3 linked regions of the Caenorhabditis elegans genome follow. The protein of the gene in region 2 interacts with the protein of the main gene of each other region in a pairwise test. Each region holds a gene or a part of one and is shown on either strand. Other genes may lie near its edges. The genes, in order: ubc-8, F42G2.5 and rrc-1.

Region 1 (5,907 bases), on a different chromosome or scaffold from region 2:
AAAAATTGGTGATTTATGGGAAAAATGAAGAGATTTGAGTGGAAAATTTGAAATTTTCGAGCATTTTTACCCCTAGATTGATGAAAATAAATATTTGCACTTGGTGGCCTAGAAAAAAAAAATTTCAGAAAAGTTCGGCCATCATCAATTTTTGCATCATTCTAGTGTGAGTTTTGCTCAAAAATCTCAATTTATAACTAGTTTTGACTTAATTTTCACGGGAAATATCGGACAAATTGAACAAAAAAAAAAGAATTTTAAGCGGAAAATAAAAGTTTTCCGAATATTTCCCCCATTAAAATTCCATTTGATCTACAGTCATTGTGTCGTCAGCATCAAAATCATCAAAGTTCACTTCACTTTCATCAAATTCCGACATTGAACTACAACTTTCGTCGTCATCGTCCTGCGGGTGACCATCGTAGTGCTCCGAGGGTGTTGAGGATATGGAATAGGCGTTTCCCGGGGAGCATCCTTCTATGGCACGGTGTTCACTTGCAAATCGCATTACGTATTCTGAAAATAAAAAAAAATTTAAAAAAATCGATAAAAATCGGCAAAATTCCATTTTTTTGATCAAAAAATTGCTAAAAACATGGAAAAATTCGCTCAAACTCTTAAAATTTTGCAATTTCAACCTCAAAAACCACTTAGAACCGTAAAAAGTACGCAGAAAGCAAAAAAAAAGCAAAAAAAAAAATGATGGCCTAACTTTTAGAATTTCTAGTCCACCAAGTGAAAAACTAGTCCCCGATTGTTTTTTGCCGAATTAAAAAAAAGGATTAAAATATACTTTAATAATTTGAATTAAAAAAAGCTCCAAATAAAATAAAACGGCCAGTTTCGAGTAGGTGGCCTAGAAATTCAAAAGTTCGGCCATCAACATTTTTTTCTCTAAAAAAATTTTTTTCGCGAAAATTGAGATCCTTACACAAATAAGCTTAGAACATGGTTAAATCAAAATCAAAATTGTAAAAAAAAGTTGGCGGTCTAACTTTTGGATTTCTAGGCCACCAACTTCCAAACTGGGCTCGAAGCGTGTGTTTATCTATTTTTTTCCTCTGGTTCCCTTATTTTTCAGGGTTGAAAGCCTACTAAAACCGTGAAAAAAAAATATAATACCCGAGGTGGCCTAGAAATCCGAATTCTTCAAAAGTTAGGCCACCGATTTTTTTTTGGTTTTTCTTGTGGACTTCTTTCTAGAAAAACTGTTTTTCAGCGTATAAACTACAGAGAATAACTGAAACCCCCAAAAAAAAAATCGAAAAATATAACGGTGGCCTAGTTTCTGGGATTTCTAGGCCACCAAGTGGAAAACTAGTCCCCCAGTATAAGTGAACCGGTTTTTAAAGCTAAATCGTGTTATAAACATACTAAATGACAGTAAAAACTCAAAGAAATGAACTAGTGGCCTAGAACCCCAAAACTCGGCCATCAACGCATTTCCGCTCTTTCTGGGTCGATTTTCATGGTTTTTTCAATGCAAATATTGATTTTTTAGTGTTCCAACGCACCTCTACACGTTCTTCTGTATTCCTCTGGCTTGTGAATGTATAACCGGGCGGCTTCTCCGTTCAAGGGGTCTGCTGCATTCGGGTAGGTGAGAAGTTGAGGCAGGAAGGTATCGAAAATGTTTGTGAGATCGTAGAGGGCTGTCCAGGCCTGAAGAAAAAATGAAAATCCGATTAAAAAAATCGGCGTCCTAACTTTCGGATTTCTAGACCACCAAGTGAAAAGTTAGTCCGCGGGCTGGTAATTGCTTAAAATTACTTAAAATGACTAAGAACATAGTCACGGACTAACTTTCCACACACTTCGGCCACCAATTCCTACCTGATTTATGACATCAAGGCATACGGTGCCCGAAGCTTCATCGATATTCGGGTGGAAAATCTTGTTCAAAAACCCGATGGACGGCGATTTGAACGGGTATTTGTCCGGCATATCGACACGAATTCTCCACACACCATTCTCGTAGGCAGCTGCAAGAATTTTTGTTCGAAAAATCGGTAAAACCTGTCTGAAATTGAAGTTTTTTGGGGAAAAGTTTCCTAAAATTGGAGGAAAATGGGCAAAACTCTCGAAATTTTCGAATTTTCGAATTGAAAAACCGTTTAAAACCACAAAAACCACCCTAGAAAACGATGAAAATCATTTTAAAAAAATTTAGAAAATCGGTGGCCGAACATTTGGATTTCTAGGCCACCAAGTGAAAAACTAGTCCCCAGCTGTTTTTTTCTGATTTCCAGGTATTACGAGGAATCTAAGTTGTCACATCGAAATTTCGGGGACTAACTTTTCAACTGGTGGCCTAGAAAAAGCAAAAGTTCGGCCACTGCGCGAAAACAAGTCTATTTCAGTCATTTTTGGGCCATTTTTTCTGATTTTTTTGCCAAAAATATTCAATTTTTCTCTATTTTATGACGTACTATCTTTTGGCCCATGAAATCTGACAATAAACTCGCTGCACCCATTCACAATCTGAACTTCATGGTTGTGGGAAATTCTGGAACAAAATATCGATTTTTTTGGAATTTTCCGAAAAATTCAATTACAGCTTAACGACGTCACAGTCTATACGGCGTTTTCCGATTGCGGTGGCTGACGTCATCGGGTCTGAAAATATCGATTTTTTCAGATAGAAAAAAAATTTCTGGAAAAAATTTCAAGAAATTTTTTTTGGTCAAAGGAAAAAAATTTCATACATGGACTTGAAAATAGTCTTTGAACAAATTTTCTCAGTACCCCTGAGATACGGTAGACTACTGTAACCCGGAAACACGTAAATAAAGTTTCAGGCCAAAACCAGGCTTAACCTCGCTCAAATTGCTCCAAATGTCACCAGACTTATAGAAAATGTTGCTACAGTAGTACCCCAGGTTACTGTATTCAAATATTAATGTAGCTACAGTACTCCTAGACTAGGTACAGTAAGCACAATGCTTCCGAAACACATTTAAAAATTCAATTGGCTCAAAAAAAATCCCGTAAAATTGTTCAAAACATTCCAATATATTCAAAATTTTTAGACAATGTTGTTACAGTACCCTAGGTTACTGTACTCAGATACTGATGTAACTACAGTACCCCTAGCCTAGATACAGTACCCTTTATGCCATGAAAACTACAAAAAACAACAATTAAACTCATAAAAAGTTCTGTTAAAACTATTCAAAATGCTTTAAGTTTCCTCAAATTTCCAGAATCTGTTCCTACAGTACCCCAGGTTACTGTACTAAAATTTTGGGTCAGCTACAGCATTCCTAGCATAAATACAGTACCCTTTATGCTATCAAGACTACGAAAAAGCAGCAATTGAGCTCAGAAAAACCTCTGTTAAAACTATTAAACATGCTTCAAGTTTTCTCAAATTTTCAGAAAATGTTGCTACAGTACCCTAGGTTACCGTACTTCAATATTACTGTAGCTAGAATACTCCTAGACCAGTTACAGTACCCTTTATGGCATCAAAATAAATTTAAAAAAAACAACAATTGAACTCATAAAAAGTTCTGTTAAAACTATTCAAAATGCTTTAAATTTTCTCAAACTTCCAGAATCTGTTCCTACAGTACCCCAGGTTACTGTATTTTGTTTTTGAGTTAGCTACAGTACCCCTAGCCTAGATACAGCACTCCTATCAACACCAAAACACTTCAATGAGCTCCCCGTAAAAATGCTCCAAAATGCTCCAAAATGGTCAAAATTTTTGCCACGTGTTTCTACAGTACTCAGGATTACTGTACCGTTATCATCAATTAGCTACAGTACCCCTCACAACCCTACACAACTAAAAAAACAACTGATAGTACTTTAAACCGGTGTAAACCCTCTTCAAAATGCTCCAAATTACACGGGATTTTTGCCACGTATAGCTGCAGTATCCAAGTCTACAGCACTCTCAGAATCCACGCTTCAAAGTGCGCAAAACACTGCTTAAAATCGGTTGAAAATCGATGGAAAACTGGACGAAAAACATATGATCATCGGGGCGCGGGTCGTCGTCGGCTGGTTGTCTTGTGCTGCGTGCGCCCCCCGGCAGCCAGCCGTGTCTTGCGACTCGAGAGAGAGTACACGGAAGTGAGAGAGTGGGTTAGACAGGACAGAGAAAAAGAAAACACGAGACAACAGACGCGAGAGAGTGTGCACTTTGTGGAGACGCGCAGCGAGAGAGGAGGGATCGTGAGACGCGGAGATTTCATGGGGAGACGAATGGGCGCGCAGTAGGCATACAAACAGCTGAGGGGGGAGAGAACGATGAACTTTTAGAGAATATTGCGCGGCTTTTCTAGACATTTTGGGATTTGTTAAGCAGAAAAGTTCAATTTTGCACGTATTCTAGATTGACAACACATTTTGCTCATTTTCAGAAATTTAGTTTTAATATGTTTTCTATTTAAAATAAATACATTAAAGGTGGACTACGCTCAGTGGGGAAATTGCTTTAAAGCACGCGTATGGTACCACAATGACCGAATATCATGATAAAAAAATTCAAAAAAATTTCCCTGATTTTATATGATTTTTTAAAAATTAAAAAAAAATAAAATCACAGTTTTCCCCCCTAATTATTTTTGAATTTCCGCAAATTGGAGTTGTTCGGTGGAGCGTGCTTGCATTGTTTTTATCAATTAATCTTTATTTATTCTCGTTATTTGACTGATTGTTGCCGTCGGAACTCAAAATCTGATAGTTTTGTGCATTTTCAATTACTTTTTAACAAACATTTTGCATTTGTCTTGTTTATTTCTTTCATTTTCCGATGAAAAAACATAGAAAATTAAGAAAATCAGTCAAATAACGAGAGTAAATATAATTAATAAATAAAAATAATGCAAGCACGCTCCACCGAACAAATCCAATTGGCGGAAATTTAAAAATAATGTTTAGCAGTTGGAGTTCAGATATAAGAAATACAATACCTCAATCAAGACATTTTCAAGATTTTCTCATATTATAAATGTATCATAATGTTTTCGATATAGTCAAAAAAATGATGAGAGGATTACTCCATTTTGGACTTTCTGACGTTATTTCAATGACAAATAACGATGTGAAATATTAAAAATAGCAGGGATATATTCTAGCCCAAATATTCCAAACAACTTTTCATTCAAATAATATTCTAGAAACTTTTGAATGGGAATTTGTTATACATATTTAATAATTTATCACGCTCTCTGGGAGACGAGAAAAAATACAATAGTGTATGACCATATTCCTAACCATTGAATACCGTATGCTCATGTTGTTTCCAAAGCCAGTGACAAAACATTTCTCAATTTTAACATATTCATTTAAATATATTCATTTCATTTAAATATATTTCATTCACATTATTTATTCATTCACATATTTTTTTTTTCATTCAGATATTCATTTAAACCAATAAACCTTAAACAAAACATGCTTGTAAGTTTAGTTTAAAAAAAGAAACACAGAAAAATCAATTAAAATCAAAAATCAAAAAAATATCAATTATTATTACGAAGCACCTGGATTAAGAAGAAGTTGATGGAAGGTTATTCTTCATATCATTCAAATTGAACGGGCTGCCTTCCTCGACGATTTCCTCCTTGATTTCGGTCTTCATACCTTCTTCATGAGCCTTGTTTTGCTGCTCTTCAACAGTTTGGCGGGCTTCAAACATTCTAATACGCGTAAGTGGCCTCATAATTCCGTACTGAAATTGTGCTCCCTCATAAGTTTTCGTTGTTTCTTCAATCGCGACAGATATTTCTTTGTGAGCTTTTTCAACTAGATCTGATTCTTTGAGAGCTTTTTCAACTGGATCTGATTTTTTGTCGTCTGATGCCATGTCCTTGTAAAAAATGAACGAGGTAATGTGAGCTTCACATTCCCAGCCTTGCTTTTGCATTTGCGTTGTAAGCTTTCTACGGATGTTGC
Region 2 (5,907 bases):
CTGATGGAATTTAATGGAAGTCCCAGCTTATCCACAGCTGATCTCAAGCCTCGGCACACTTTTCGGGAAGCTAGTCTGGAATTTTTTGAATTTTTTAATGGCGACAACAAAAAAAACTTGAAAAAAAATAATTAAAATAGCTAGAAATTTTTTTTTGTGAAATTTCAAGAACCTTGTGAAAATTTTGCAAATTTGTACGGAAGTATTCCAGATTTTGCTCATTTTTCAAAATTTTTTGAAGCTTTTGTACAAAATCGTAAAAATTTGGTAAAAACGGGTGAGGTAACGTCACAAACTATATACTACAAAATCATATTTTATACCTTTTTTTAGAAAAAAGTATTTATCAAACATTTAGAAAAAGTAACTCACAGATCCGTAACCCCAAGTTTTTCCAAAACTTGTTCAGCGACTTGCAAAGGCAAATTGAGCAAAGTTGGAGCTACAATTTGCATTTCCGAAAACAATTCTTCAACGTTCATCTGAATTTATACATAAAATTAACCTCTTTTTTTATAGTAATATGGAGAAAAGTTATAAAAGTACGCAGGATGGCGAGAAGAGTTCAAAAACTCAACAAGTGTAAACACTGTGACGACAAAATGCACATCATTTTCATAGTTTGTACATTTTCTGAACAGACGGTTTTTTTTATCAGTTTTTGATCTCTGCGTGTCTAAATCTATGGGTTCTCTAATATTCTGCAATGCATCATAAAATGGAGGGCGGTTGGTAAATACCTCTGGTCAAAACTGAAGTGAATTTAGAACCTTGTTAGCTACAAAATTGTCAAATATATTTTCTGAAGGATAATATTATGGAATTTTTTGGTATTTTTTTCAACAAAAAATTCCACGTCTTTTTCGAGAGTTTTAATAAGTTTTAATGTCAGCTTTTATATGGAAAATAACAAAATTAACGGATTTTACAAAGTTTCATCAAAAGAAAAGCCAAATTTTTTTTAGAAAATTGACAAAAAAAATTTCTCCTGCGAACTTGTTCAAAAAGTCAAAATAGTTTATTTAACGTACTTGCAACAAATTACTCACAGAAATTGTGCTAAAAGTGTGCAATATGATTAGAAAAACCAAAAAGAATTCAAAGAAATTCAGTATTAAATCAAAAAGTTTTGACGAAATTTAAAATTAAAAAAAAATCAATATTGGGAGATTTTTTTAAGTGCATCAAAAAAAGTTATCTACTATGTTCCTTTAAAAAAATATTTTTTATATGTTTTGTAGATTACTGGGGGTTTAAAAGACTATGAAAGGGCCGGGAAAAAGATTTTAGAACTAATTTGGTCACAGCAAAGAAAAAATGCATTTTATAATTAGTTGTATTGTATTATACATACATACATAAATATTGCGCCACGTGATTGCAGACAAAGATCAACCCAAACAGCAAGCTGGATTTTCTACACGGTGCTGAAATTGGAAGGGAATTTTGTTGTCATGGAAACTGAAAATTCAAAATTGAAACAAAACATTAATCCATACAGCTATCTTACGTAAAGCCATTTTGTCTATCTCCGGAAAAGTGAGTGCAACATCTAAAACGGCAGGTTTTACAACTGCACATTCCGTTCCCGAATCGGTTAAGGATCTTGTCGCAAGCTCTACGTCGTCCATTTCCATCGACAACTTCAACTCGGCAATTTTTAAATTCTGATGTTTAAGGATTTCTGATAGTTCTGCCACAAGCAACGCATTCTTTGAAACGTTCATGTCTGCGATGGTGTGTAATTTTCCGATCGCCTCGTTTTCCAAAGCATTTATAGTTTCTCGTATTGAAGCATAGTAGGAGACTATCTGTAAAGCTGTGTGTAATTTTTTTTTAATTTATATTATGAGTGCTAAGGAATACCTCGAAAAATTCAAAAATTGGGAAGTGTTCCTATAGCAGCGTACTGTGGGGGAAAGTTTCAAGCAGTTATATTGGAAAATCCGGGCAATTAAATTTTTTTTGTCTACAGTCCTCACCTACCGAATCCTTTCTCTCTTGAAATTCCCTCCCATCCTTCAAATTTGAGAGTTGGGCTCTGAATTTATTTTTTTTTGGTTAATAATTTTTTCACATTTTCCAACTTTCCTACCTGCCAACAGCTTTAATACTCTTGTCAGTTTTACTAACTTGCTCCTCCAATTTTGAGAGCTGGCAGCTCAGTTGTTGTCTTAACTTTGCGATTTCCAACGGTGGAACTCGTAAAGTTTTCTTTAAAAATTTGTTCAACAGTTGAGAACAACTTTGTTATCAACTTACCTGATCAATTGCTTGCAGTAATGCAAAGTTTTTGGGAAGACTTGCCACACTGCTCACATTGGTTTCATTCCGGCAAAATGGACATAAGATAACACAGTTTTTGGCCAGCTTTGATGCACAGCTTTGACAAATTGAGTGGCCACACTCTGTACAAAAAATTGTATTGCCGCACTTTAGAGGCATCAAAACTCACGAAGAATCCTAGGAATCTGGTTATCAACAACACTTGAAAACTCCAAGGTACATATTTCGCACTCGATGTTTGATTTTGAATCTGTATTGTCAACGAAAGTAACCACAAGCCTATTGTAGGTAAGCTCGTCTGGTTTGACATTTTTCCAAACTGATTCCAAATCAGAAACATCAATGGAAGGCGCGACGCACGATTGAACCAGAAACTTGTGCTGCTTAGCATCAGGTGGAACTTTTTCCAAAGGTTGGAGCATCACTTCAATTTGTTTCGAGTCCCCAATGTTTAGAATTCCTTTAAAAATGAAACAATGGCCGTCCGGTAACCGTGTCATTCATTTTTCTTCAAAATACTCACCTCTGTTTGGACGAACACAATAACTATTTGGAACCGTTGTTTTTACTAGAAAACACACTGGGCTTTGTGATATATTTGTGAGCGTCATGTAAGTAGTGATCACGTGATCGAATGGACCACTGAAGACGAGCTCTGGAGGCACTTCTAGAAGACTCTTTTTTTCAGGCATTGTTTATCTGTAATATTAGTTAAATGCAAAGAGAAGAGTATGTAAAGTAAAAGCCTAACTCAAGTAATTTTAGAAATATTTACCAGAAATTTTATGACATTTAACAGGCAGCAACTTTCGAAAGAAAACTGTTATCAATTTGGGTGTTACTCTTATCTAAGACTTAGGAACAATTTCTTTTCATGTGTTACTTGTTTTTTTCATAATGTGTAGAATAGAAATATTGTTGAAAAAGGTCCTCATATAGAGTTTTTGTGGTATCATCTCATCGCTGTTAACTGTCAAAGTGATCCTATATTCAAATACATTTTCAGGCATCGTTTTTTTATTTAAAAAATATTTATTTTAATTAAAAATTAAATTTATAAAATTGAAAAAAAAATTAATTGAGAGACAAACGTGAAAAAAATCCACGTTTCAAAAGAAAACGAAAAGGGGGAGGAAGTGAAATTCAAAAATATTCATTACCATCTTCATGTCGCTGATGAAATCATCAGAATCGTGGTTCTTTCGACACGTGGATTTGCAAACAGTGAGTTTTGGATAAATCGATAAATCGATGGCCGAACTTTTCAAGACCATGCAGCAATATTCTTTCAGAAGCAAATGGTTTTCTACACGTGAGAGAATGCGTTGGAAAGGACGATTTGAAGTGATGCACACATATGCAAGCCACAGTACACGGAATCACTGGCATCACGTCACCCAATGCATCAGGATTTGATCTACTTCCCGTGGCGCCCAGAGGACTTGTCTTTCTGCCAGTGATCCCAGGAACCCAGAGGTATGTTTCTGGCCCAGCAACGCAGAATTCACTGAACAAAAACCATTTTCAGGGTGCTGTCAACATGGCATACTACGCGAACAAGGACTATGGCATGTCCCTTCCACGTGAATCCGTTGAGATGAAGGCTGGAGATTTTGTGTTCTACCATCCGTGCTTGTTCCACGGATCCGGTGCCAGTCGATCCGATGGGTTCTCGTGTCACGACGAAATACACGCCCGCGCGCGCATTTTCAATATCTTGGAGTAACTTTCCGTTAGAGCGCGTTTTCCTTTTCAGAAAGGCTGCCAGCGAGCATGTGCTATGTGAAACATTATTTTAAAAGTTTGTGGTTTATAGATTATAGATCATTCTCAGTTTTCTCGTGAAAAATCTAAAAATTTACGGTTGGCTTGATTGCTTAGAAAGCCCCATGCAACAGTAGTGTAAGTAGCTGAGCCTGACCAAGTTCCTTGATGGCTAAACAAGGTCTACGCAGAGTTGTGGTAGGGGTGTACCTAACTACTCAACTTTAAAGACCCATATCAAATCGATTTCCGTGACTTTGTTGTACCAAAAAATTCGGATATACCCCGTCGTTCATTTTAATTATCAAAATAAAAGGTGATGGAAGATAATGAGATACGCCTGCCTTGCCGAATAAGACCAGCTGCTAGATAATCCTATAATGGGACACATCTGGTTGAATCGAACCGGCTTGCTCAATTCTCTCCATATTCTTTATTATCAAAAATGAATAGCTCGAAACCATTGTCATATCCAAGCATTGGGAGCATTCTTCAGCACCTGAAGCCTGATAAAAAGTTAGTTTTTTATTTTTATTTTACTAATGTTTAAACAAGCTTTTTTTCTAGATTCCAACTCTCCCAGCAGTGCCGGACAATCACTTCTATTGACAAATCAAGACCTTTATATTTGAAATCTTTAAAGTTAAATGAGAACAGCATCAAATTGAATGGCACCACCTATGAATTGAATGTGATCGAGAATTCGCTTAAGCCACGAGCATTTCCATATGATGTGAATAGCCAAGGATCTATAGATTTGGAAATGGTAGTGCCAGACCAGGAACAAGAACAGGAGATCTTGGTCGATGACAGAACCGACAATCCAACATCATACAATGAGCAAAGGATTTCTCGAGCTGATTTGAAAAATGCTCCCAGCTCCAGTTATACTCATTACATCCGGTTTTCCGTTGGAAATCACTCTGAGCAATTACAATACAATGAGCGGAAGCTTCACGATGCTATGAAATACCTAATTGATAAGCTTCTGGGAGGAAGGCCTACTATCAAAGCCCGACAATTTTGCGTGGAAAACTCTGGAATACTCCGAATCCCGAGACACCTCAAAATTCGTGCTAAAGTTGTACAGTTAAATGGCTTAATCCGGGAAAAGCTATTAAATGCCACACAACATCTACTGGATATCAAAAGCCTACCACTATCAGGTGTCATCATTTCTGATCCCCTTATGAATGCTCCGAATCTTGATATTGATTTTATTCAAACCGCTGAGATGCTACTTTTATACTGCGAAGTGATTTCCGGGGAGGGATTGCTCAAAGTTCGGCACAAAAGAGTTTACATTAATGCGTACTTGTATGATGCTACTTTTCGGCTTTTCGAGGATTGGATGGAGCACGGGCGGGAAGTTGGTACGCATTTCTCATTTGCAATGAGGAATGAGGGAAACATAATTGATGTTCTGGATAAAATTCGAATAAATTATAATGTGGAAGAAGGGTAAGTAAAGTTTGATGGTGCTGCTCTAAAATATAGTTTTTTTTTTGCAGAACTGCTGAGAATCAACTGACCATTCATATAAACAACTTCACGGATATTGTCGTCAGTCATAAAGTGGATACATGGATTTTGGAGTATAAAGTTCAGCAACGAGAAGTTATGTAAATTTACATCTGAATTCAAATCCCAACTGTTTACAGAAGCAAATATAACTGTTCACAATTTATCCTGATACTGATTTATTTACTTCTGATATTGAGCAAATTTCAATAAAGTTTTATTAAAATCTTTAAACTAGAATTGATCATTGAAGTTGTTGCTAATTGTTTGTGTTTACATTATCATAATTTCGACATCAACAAATATCGCCTACCCTTTTAGTATTTGTAGAACGAC
Region 3 (5,907 bases), on a different chromosome or scaffold from region 2:
AATGCATAATGTAGGTGTGCATTACATTGTACATATGTTTTGCAATAAAAACAAACACAGAAATGAAATATGCACTGCAGTTAAGAGCGAGTGGTGTCAAAATCATAAGAAGAACAAGATATTTTTTCAAGGTTGTACTAGAACTCACCAATTTTGTGAGAAAGGTTCAAATAATTGAATAACTCTTTGAAATACAGACTTACTATTCTGTCAGAAAGGAAAACAAATTTTCCTATCTGAAATGTTTGCAATACTTGAAATGAAATATTTATCGTCTTGGGTTCATTTGGTTTATTCGAATCTTTTTTAATTTAACTTTTCTAATTTGAAGAGATACTGTAAAAAGTCTAAACCATAGCCAGTTTTAAATTTAAATTAAATTGAAGTTTGGAGTTAAAAACAATTTCGCTTACTTCTAAAAATTTCAGAACAGGATAGCACGTTATAATGCTGCCAGTGAGTTCCGATAATCGCTCCGTATACTTGACAAGAACTTCCTGTAAACATCAAATGTGATGACTAGTGATTTTGAAAAGAAGCCGTCACCTCGAACTTTGCCGTTTCCAGATGAATAAGAGGAAACAGCTCGTCAAGTCGTGAATGCCTTCGTTCGAACACACAACGATGCAGCTGTCTGTCGAAGACTGCCCAATCCTCCCGAGAACGTTCGACAAGCCTGAATGAATCAATGATGGAAAACCTTTCAAGTTTCCGTTTTTCTTTCTTTTTTCTTTTTTGTTCTTCCTCGTACTAACTTTATTCAGCCTTTATTCTCATCTCCCATGAGACTTCACTCGTGGCTTTTTTGTTTGATTTCTGTGTGGCAGAACATTGAAAGAAAAACCGAGAGAAACACCACGGAGCACGAATTTTTGAAGACAAATTGGAAACAGAAGGAATGACCAACTCACCATGAATTTGATTCACTTTCCACACGCATTTTTATCCGCTCTGTTGCATTCTCGTCAGCGTTTATTGCGATGATGGCAACACGGACGGGACCCAATTCAACAGACGAATAATGGAAGTGTTGACAGTCGACTAGTCGTTGAATGCGAAGACTGAAACACAATAAATTGTTGATATTCAACGAAATAAACAGTGAAGTAGTATATGAATTATTTCCAGCTAGCAAAATTTGCTTCTTTCAAAAATTTTTCAACTCACAAAGTTGATACTAAAACATTAATATTCCAATTAAAATGTTTGTGGTGAAGAAATGTAAAGATATTTTCTTGAAAGAACGCCGCAACATATCTACCAACCTTATCAGCTTTAGGAATGCATTTAGTGAAAAACTGGCTAAAGTTGGGTAAAATAAATTAAAGTTGGGGATGCGCTGAAAACTTTGCACTGAAAATGTTTCTATAGTGGCCTAAACTTGGTTAAAAAGGGCTGAAGTAGTTACAATTATTTAATGTACAGTTCGAATTATTTTTCTTTTAATGGTTATTCTTTGGTAAAACTTGATTTAATAGTAAAAAAAGGATATTGCCCCGGGCGGGATTCGAACCCGCGACTGGTTTAACCCAATGAGATCATAAGTCTCACGCCTTCGACCGCTCGGCCACCGGGGCACTGATTCTGAAAAATGTGCATCTCGTTGAAAACTGCTTGAATTGCTAAAATTGGTGGATAATTTGATGCGAATTGCCGAACGCCTGCCATTCTTGTTGTAACGGTAAAAAAAATAAATTTTTGATATCAATATTTTTCAAAAACTCACAGTACTCGATGTTGCACTGTAACCAATAGTAAATTTTTTATGTACAACAATACACTTCATTATTTTTCCAATTTTATTGCACTGTTTTATCTGGGCAACCGATAAACACAAAAACCACCTTTTTCTAAATTCACCTAACTAAATTTTTTGCAAATAAATGGATATAATGAGGGAGACCGTAAGTGAATTTTTTGATTTATAAACATTCTACTACAAATTCAACATATTTTGTACCCTGGTATTTCTGGATCCATCTTTGCAAGTAGTCAGTGAATAGATAAAGTCCAAAATAAAGTCATTCAATCAATTACATGAAATATTGAGATGGAATAGATAGGAGCCGAGAGGTCTCTCCTCAAGGTTCTGTTGGTGAGTGTGTAATCCCACGCTCACTACATCGTACGCTAGCTGCACTCGCCGGTCGTGGCGGTAGACAAGCGGATAAGCGATGAAACATTCAATTTTGATTGGGATGAAAGGGGAGAAAGAGATGGACCAGAGAGTGATTGCAGAAAAATCAAATTGCAAAATGTGGGCCACTGGTTAGATTTATGGAAGGACATTTATCAAAAGGTTGTTGGAAGCAATTCAATGTTTCGAAACGTTTTTAGTAAAACTGGAGAATTTTAGACCTTTCACATAGTTATTTTTCAAGAACAAAAATACAAGACAGGTCTGTATTGCAACTCTTAGAATTGCTTCAAGACGTCTTGGTAAAAATATTTATTTTAAGCAGATTGTAGAATCAGTTGTAGCACGAAGAAAAAACAAACCAAACTGTTACTCTTCTTTTAACAATTTCTTATGCATATGATGTGAATTGTTGTTTTTACAGTAAAATTGAAGTTGTCTACATAAAATTAAATTTATGTTTCAAATATACTTTGAAAAAAAGTTCCACAACAGAAGGGAAATTACGTTACACGATGGCCCACAATTATAGGCCACCCTGCATCATTAACACGGTGCTTAAAAAATTATTATACTTTTTTTGAAAGCTTTTGAAACAAGTTGGATGAATCTAAATGTCGGGTTTCGCCCGTTTTTCTCTTAATTCTTTTCCGATTAGCTCAAATGGTTAATTCCAGACCTCAAATCTTTATTCAAAATATCTTTTGCGCAAGCAAAGATAAGTATTTTGAAAACGAAATGTTAAATTTGAGTGCATTAGGATTCTGGCAAACCTAAATCATTAAATTTTTTAAAGTTTGAAAATCTAAAAAATTTCGAAAAATCTACCTTCTTCCGTTTCTGCGTGCAAATGGGCTTTTGGGAGATAAAGGTGCAAATGATTCCTCGATGCCTTCCATTTTTTACATCACTTTAAATGAATACGTTGCTTTTCAAATGTTTTTACCAGTTTTTGTTGTCCTCGTTATCCTTCCTGAAAATGGCAACCGGAAGTCATGAGAATAAAAGGTAAACGTGTGGTGTTTGAGGAAAAATACATGTTATAAACACACGCTTTGCTTATAGATCGGTTCGATTATTTACATGCAAACATCATGTCAATTTGTGTTGGCAAATGAGAAGTGACGGCTTTTAGTTAGGAAAGCGGGACGAAAAGGGGGCAATCAGGAAAATCAGTTAAATTGTCGTGTGACTGAAGGAGTAAATATGGGTTCTGTTTGGAAGTTGTCAAAAATTGAGCAATGACATAGGAAGGCAGGCGTTGTTAGGAGCCAACAACCAAGAATCTTCAGACATGTGTTAAAAAATCATGTGGCCAGAAACATCTTGTTCGAGAGTTTTAGGATAAAACTGAAGATTATGATTAAGATTTTAGATATATATGTACCTCGTTTCGTGATATTTGAAGATAAACGTTGTGAGGAAGTGAGTTTCTGATGTTGTAACTTTTAAGTGGAAACTCTATTTTTGAAATTAAAAAAAGAAGGTTTTGAAGCCATACACTCAAATTTAATATGGTTCCAGAGCAAAATTTATCTGGATTATTAGAAATTTATCATAAAATTTAAAAAGGGTCGTATAATTCTACACAAAAAACCAAAACTAAAAATAAAATAAAGCAATTTATATTTTATATTATATTCTTTATGCTTCTAAACTTTTGATTAAATATACACAAATTTCACATAATTTTCTCGGAAAATGTGTTGTTTTTTAGAACACATACAATTAACGTTTATCACTCGACTGGGTAGAACAAAAAACGCAAAAAGAAAAAAAGCTCAGGTTGGTTCCAAAAATTCATCAACACTTGTGACACCTAGCAAAAAAGATAACCAAGCTCTTCAGGGGCAGCAGCCAACACGGATCCGTGCCGGGTTTCCGGTTTTCTAACGCAGTGGACAGCTGCTGTTGTTAAGGAGGAGAGAAAGTACAAGCCATTTGAAACCAAATTCTAGGCACAACAGGTGTCAGGATTTTCATGGATGGTTAAGGATGAGAAAGAACTGGTTGAACGATTGATGCTAATCAGTATGATTTTGAGTCAAAAATGATAAAACGAAGGGTTATTAGTGTGTTATATTTCCGGACGCTTCATCTTCTTCATCTTCAAAGTTTCGGTCTAAAGATAAAGAAGATAGCAACGGGTCCCGAGTTTCTCTCTTCGTCTCATCAACCAATCTCCGTCGTCTTGTCTCTACGTATCACAATTCTGGCGAAGCACACACACACACATACGTTCTTCTTTTTCTACCCCTATGCTCTTTAGCTGCTGCTCTTCTGTGGAGCACTCGATACAAATCTACCACCTGACACTATCACCGCATTGGGTGAGACGGGCTTGCTGGTTCAAATGTTCTTGCAGACAAAAATGACCGTCATATGCTCTAGCTTCTTTTTTTTCAACTACTCTTTGGTAATTTAAGAAATATGGATACCTAAAGTTGATCTGACAATTAAAATGTATTTGTGCAAAAGGGAAAACAAATTGTTAGTAATATTATGAGCTGTAACTTGTAAATAACCTTACTAGAACATATTATATAGTGCCAGAACAATTGTAGAAAGAATTACCGTGTTTCCTGAATCAATCTTGCTTGTAAGACAAATTTTGGATTGACCCGTAGAGGTGAAAGACTAATAAAGACTGCAACACTATTAGAGGCTGCAAAACTAATAGAAAAAATACGGAACTCATTTTTTGACAAAAAATACAACAAAGTTCGAAAAATGTGTTATGACAAAAAAGTTACCAACATACCAAATGTTAAGTATTTGTGAAGTCTGGGTTGAAAAAAAAGCTCAAAAAAGCAAAAGTTTGGCATGTATATACAATAGACAACTGGGACTTTTCAGGTAGTAATTATAAGAAACCACAAATCATCAAATTTTTTGTAGGAAATTCCAAGAAAAATTCAGGTTTCATCAAATTGAAAATGAAAATTGAATGACCTTATTTCAACATCTAGCTTTCAACACTTGATGTTATCGTCTTACACGTCTTCGCAAGTGACACTTTTTCTTGAGACAATCGTCGTTTGATCCCAATTATTTATTAAAGCCCAATTCATTCAACTCATAGATATAAATGCATGAAAAAATATTGAAAAGTGAATTATCATACTGGTAGACTTTGATTCAGAGAGTAGAAAGAAGAGAGAACCAACTGATGACAGTCACAAATTGACACAACAAAATAGGGTAGCGCGAGTTTGAGCGAAAAGGAGAGCGGTTTGGCGTTTAAAGCAATAAAACAAATCTAAAATTTTGATAAAAGTGCCGGTATTCCATAGGAAGATCAACAGGGAAATCAGAGTAAAACTGGGGTAGGAGATTATGAGGGGAAAAATGATAACACATATCAGCTAATCAATTTTGCAAAGTACATTATTATACACAACTGAAATATACAATTTGTACACACAAATGCTGGAGGTCTATCAAATCTGTTTATGACATGAAATCTAATAATTAGAGATCTGTGAATGGTGTTTTGACGTGCGGGTGGTCGGTGTCGTGCTTGAGCACTTTTACAAGCTCATCAATATAATCGCGATGCTTTCGACAGTAGATGAATGAATCCCACATCATTGTGCATACATCCAAATCGCTAGTTGAAGAAAGAAATATATTCTGAAATAAAAATGTTCATTTATTTTTCAAAAATATTTTACAGCTAAAATTTAGAGAACTATTTCATAAACTGCCAATAAATGTTTTGTGACACTGATGAGATAAAGGTCGAAAACATACTTTTGATAATGGTGCGG

The links.
Region 1: the proteins of F42G2.5 (region 2) and ubc-8 interact in a two-hybrid assay, tested with the Caenorhabditis elegans proteins (one study listed by BioGRID).
Region 3: the proteins of F42G2.5 (region 2) and rrc-1 interact in a two-hybrid assay, tested with the Caenorhabditis elegans proteins (2 studies listed by BioGRID).

Annotation. Positions count from the first base shown.
Region 1 is NC_003282.8:2,704,621-2,710,527, forward strand, and holds ubc-8 (UBC core domain-containing protein), read right to left. Parts: upstream 2,619-5,907; 5' UTR 2,612-2,618; coding exon 2,556-2,611; intron 2,507-2,555; coding exon 2,430-2,506; intron 1,983-2,429; coding exon 1,834-1,982; intron 1,663-1,833; coding exon 1,515-1,662; intron 517-1,514; coding exon 296-516; 3' UTR 121-295; downstream 1-120. Other genes in the region: Y94H6A.10 (Ulp1 protease family, C-terminal catalytic domain containing protein), read right to left, coding at 5,501-5,907.
Region 2 is NC_003280.10:2,414,994-2,420,900, forward strand, and holds F42G2.5 (Major sperm protein), read right to left. Parts: upstream 2,997-5,907; 5' UTR 2,979-2,996; coding exon 2,810-2,978; intron 2,747-2,809; coding exon 2,456-2,746; intron 2,409-2,455; coding exon 2,263-2,408; intron 2,215-2,262; coding exon 2,096-2,214; intron 2,042-2,095; coding exon 1,987-2,041; intron 1,812-1,986; coding exon 1,511-1,811; intron 1,462-1,510; coding exon 1,418-1,461; 3' UTR 1,004-1,417; downstream 1-1,003. Other genes in the region: fbxa-4 (F-box domain-containing protein), read right to left, coding at 1-75, 373-455; F42G2.7 (phytanoyl-CoA dioxygenase), read left to right, coding at 3,644-4,012; fbxc-20 (F-box C protein), read left to right, coding at 4,496-4,566, 4,618-5,511, 5,562-5,676.
Region 3 is NC_003284.9:9,828,175-9,834,081, forward strand, and holds the start of rrc-1 (GTPase-activating protein rrc-1), read right to left. Parts: upstream 3,115-5,907; 5' UTR 3,037-3,114; coding exon 2,966-3,036; intron 2,130-2,965; exon of another isoform or gene 1,981-2,129; coding exon of another isoform or gene 1,961-1,980; intron 1,578-1,960; exon of another isoform or gene 1,493-1,577; intron 1,062-1,492; coding exon 912-1,061; intron 677-911; coding exon 547-676; intron 498-546; coding exon 414-497; intron 1-413. Other genes in the region: ipla-2 (Intracellular phospholipase A2), read right to left, coding at 5,609-5,770, 5,891-5,907. UniProt on the Caenorhabditis elegans protein: Functions as a GTPase-activating protein (GAP) for ced-10/rac-1 and CDC42.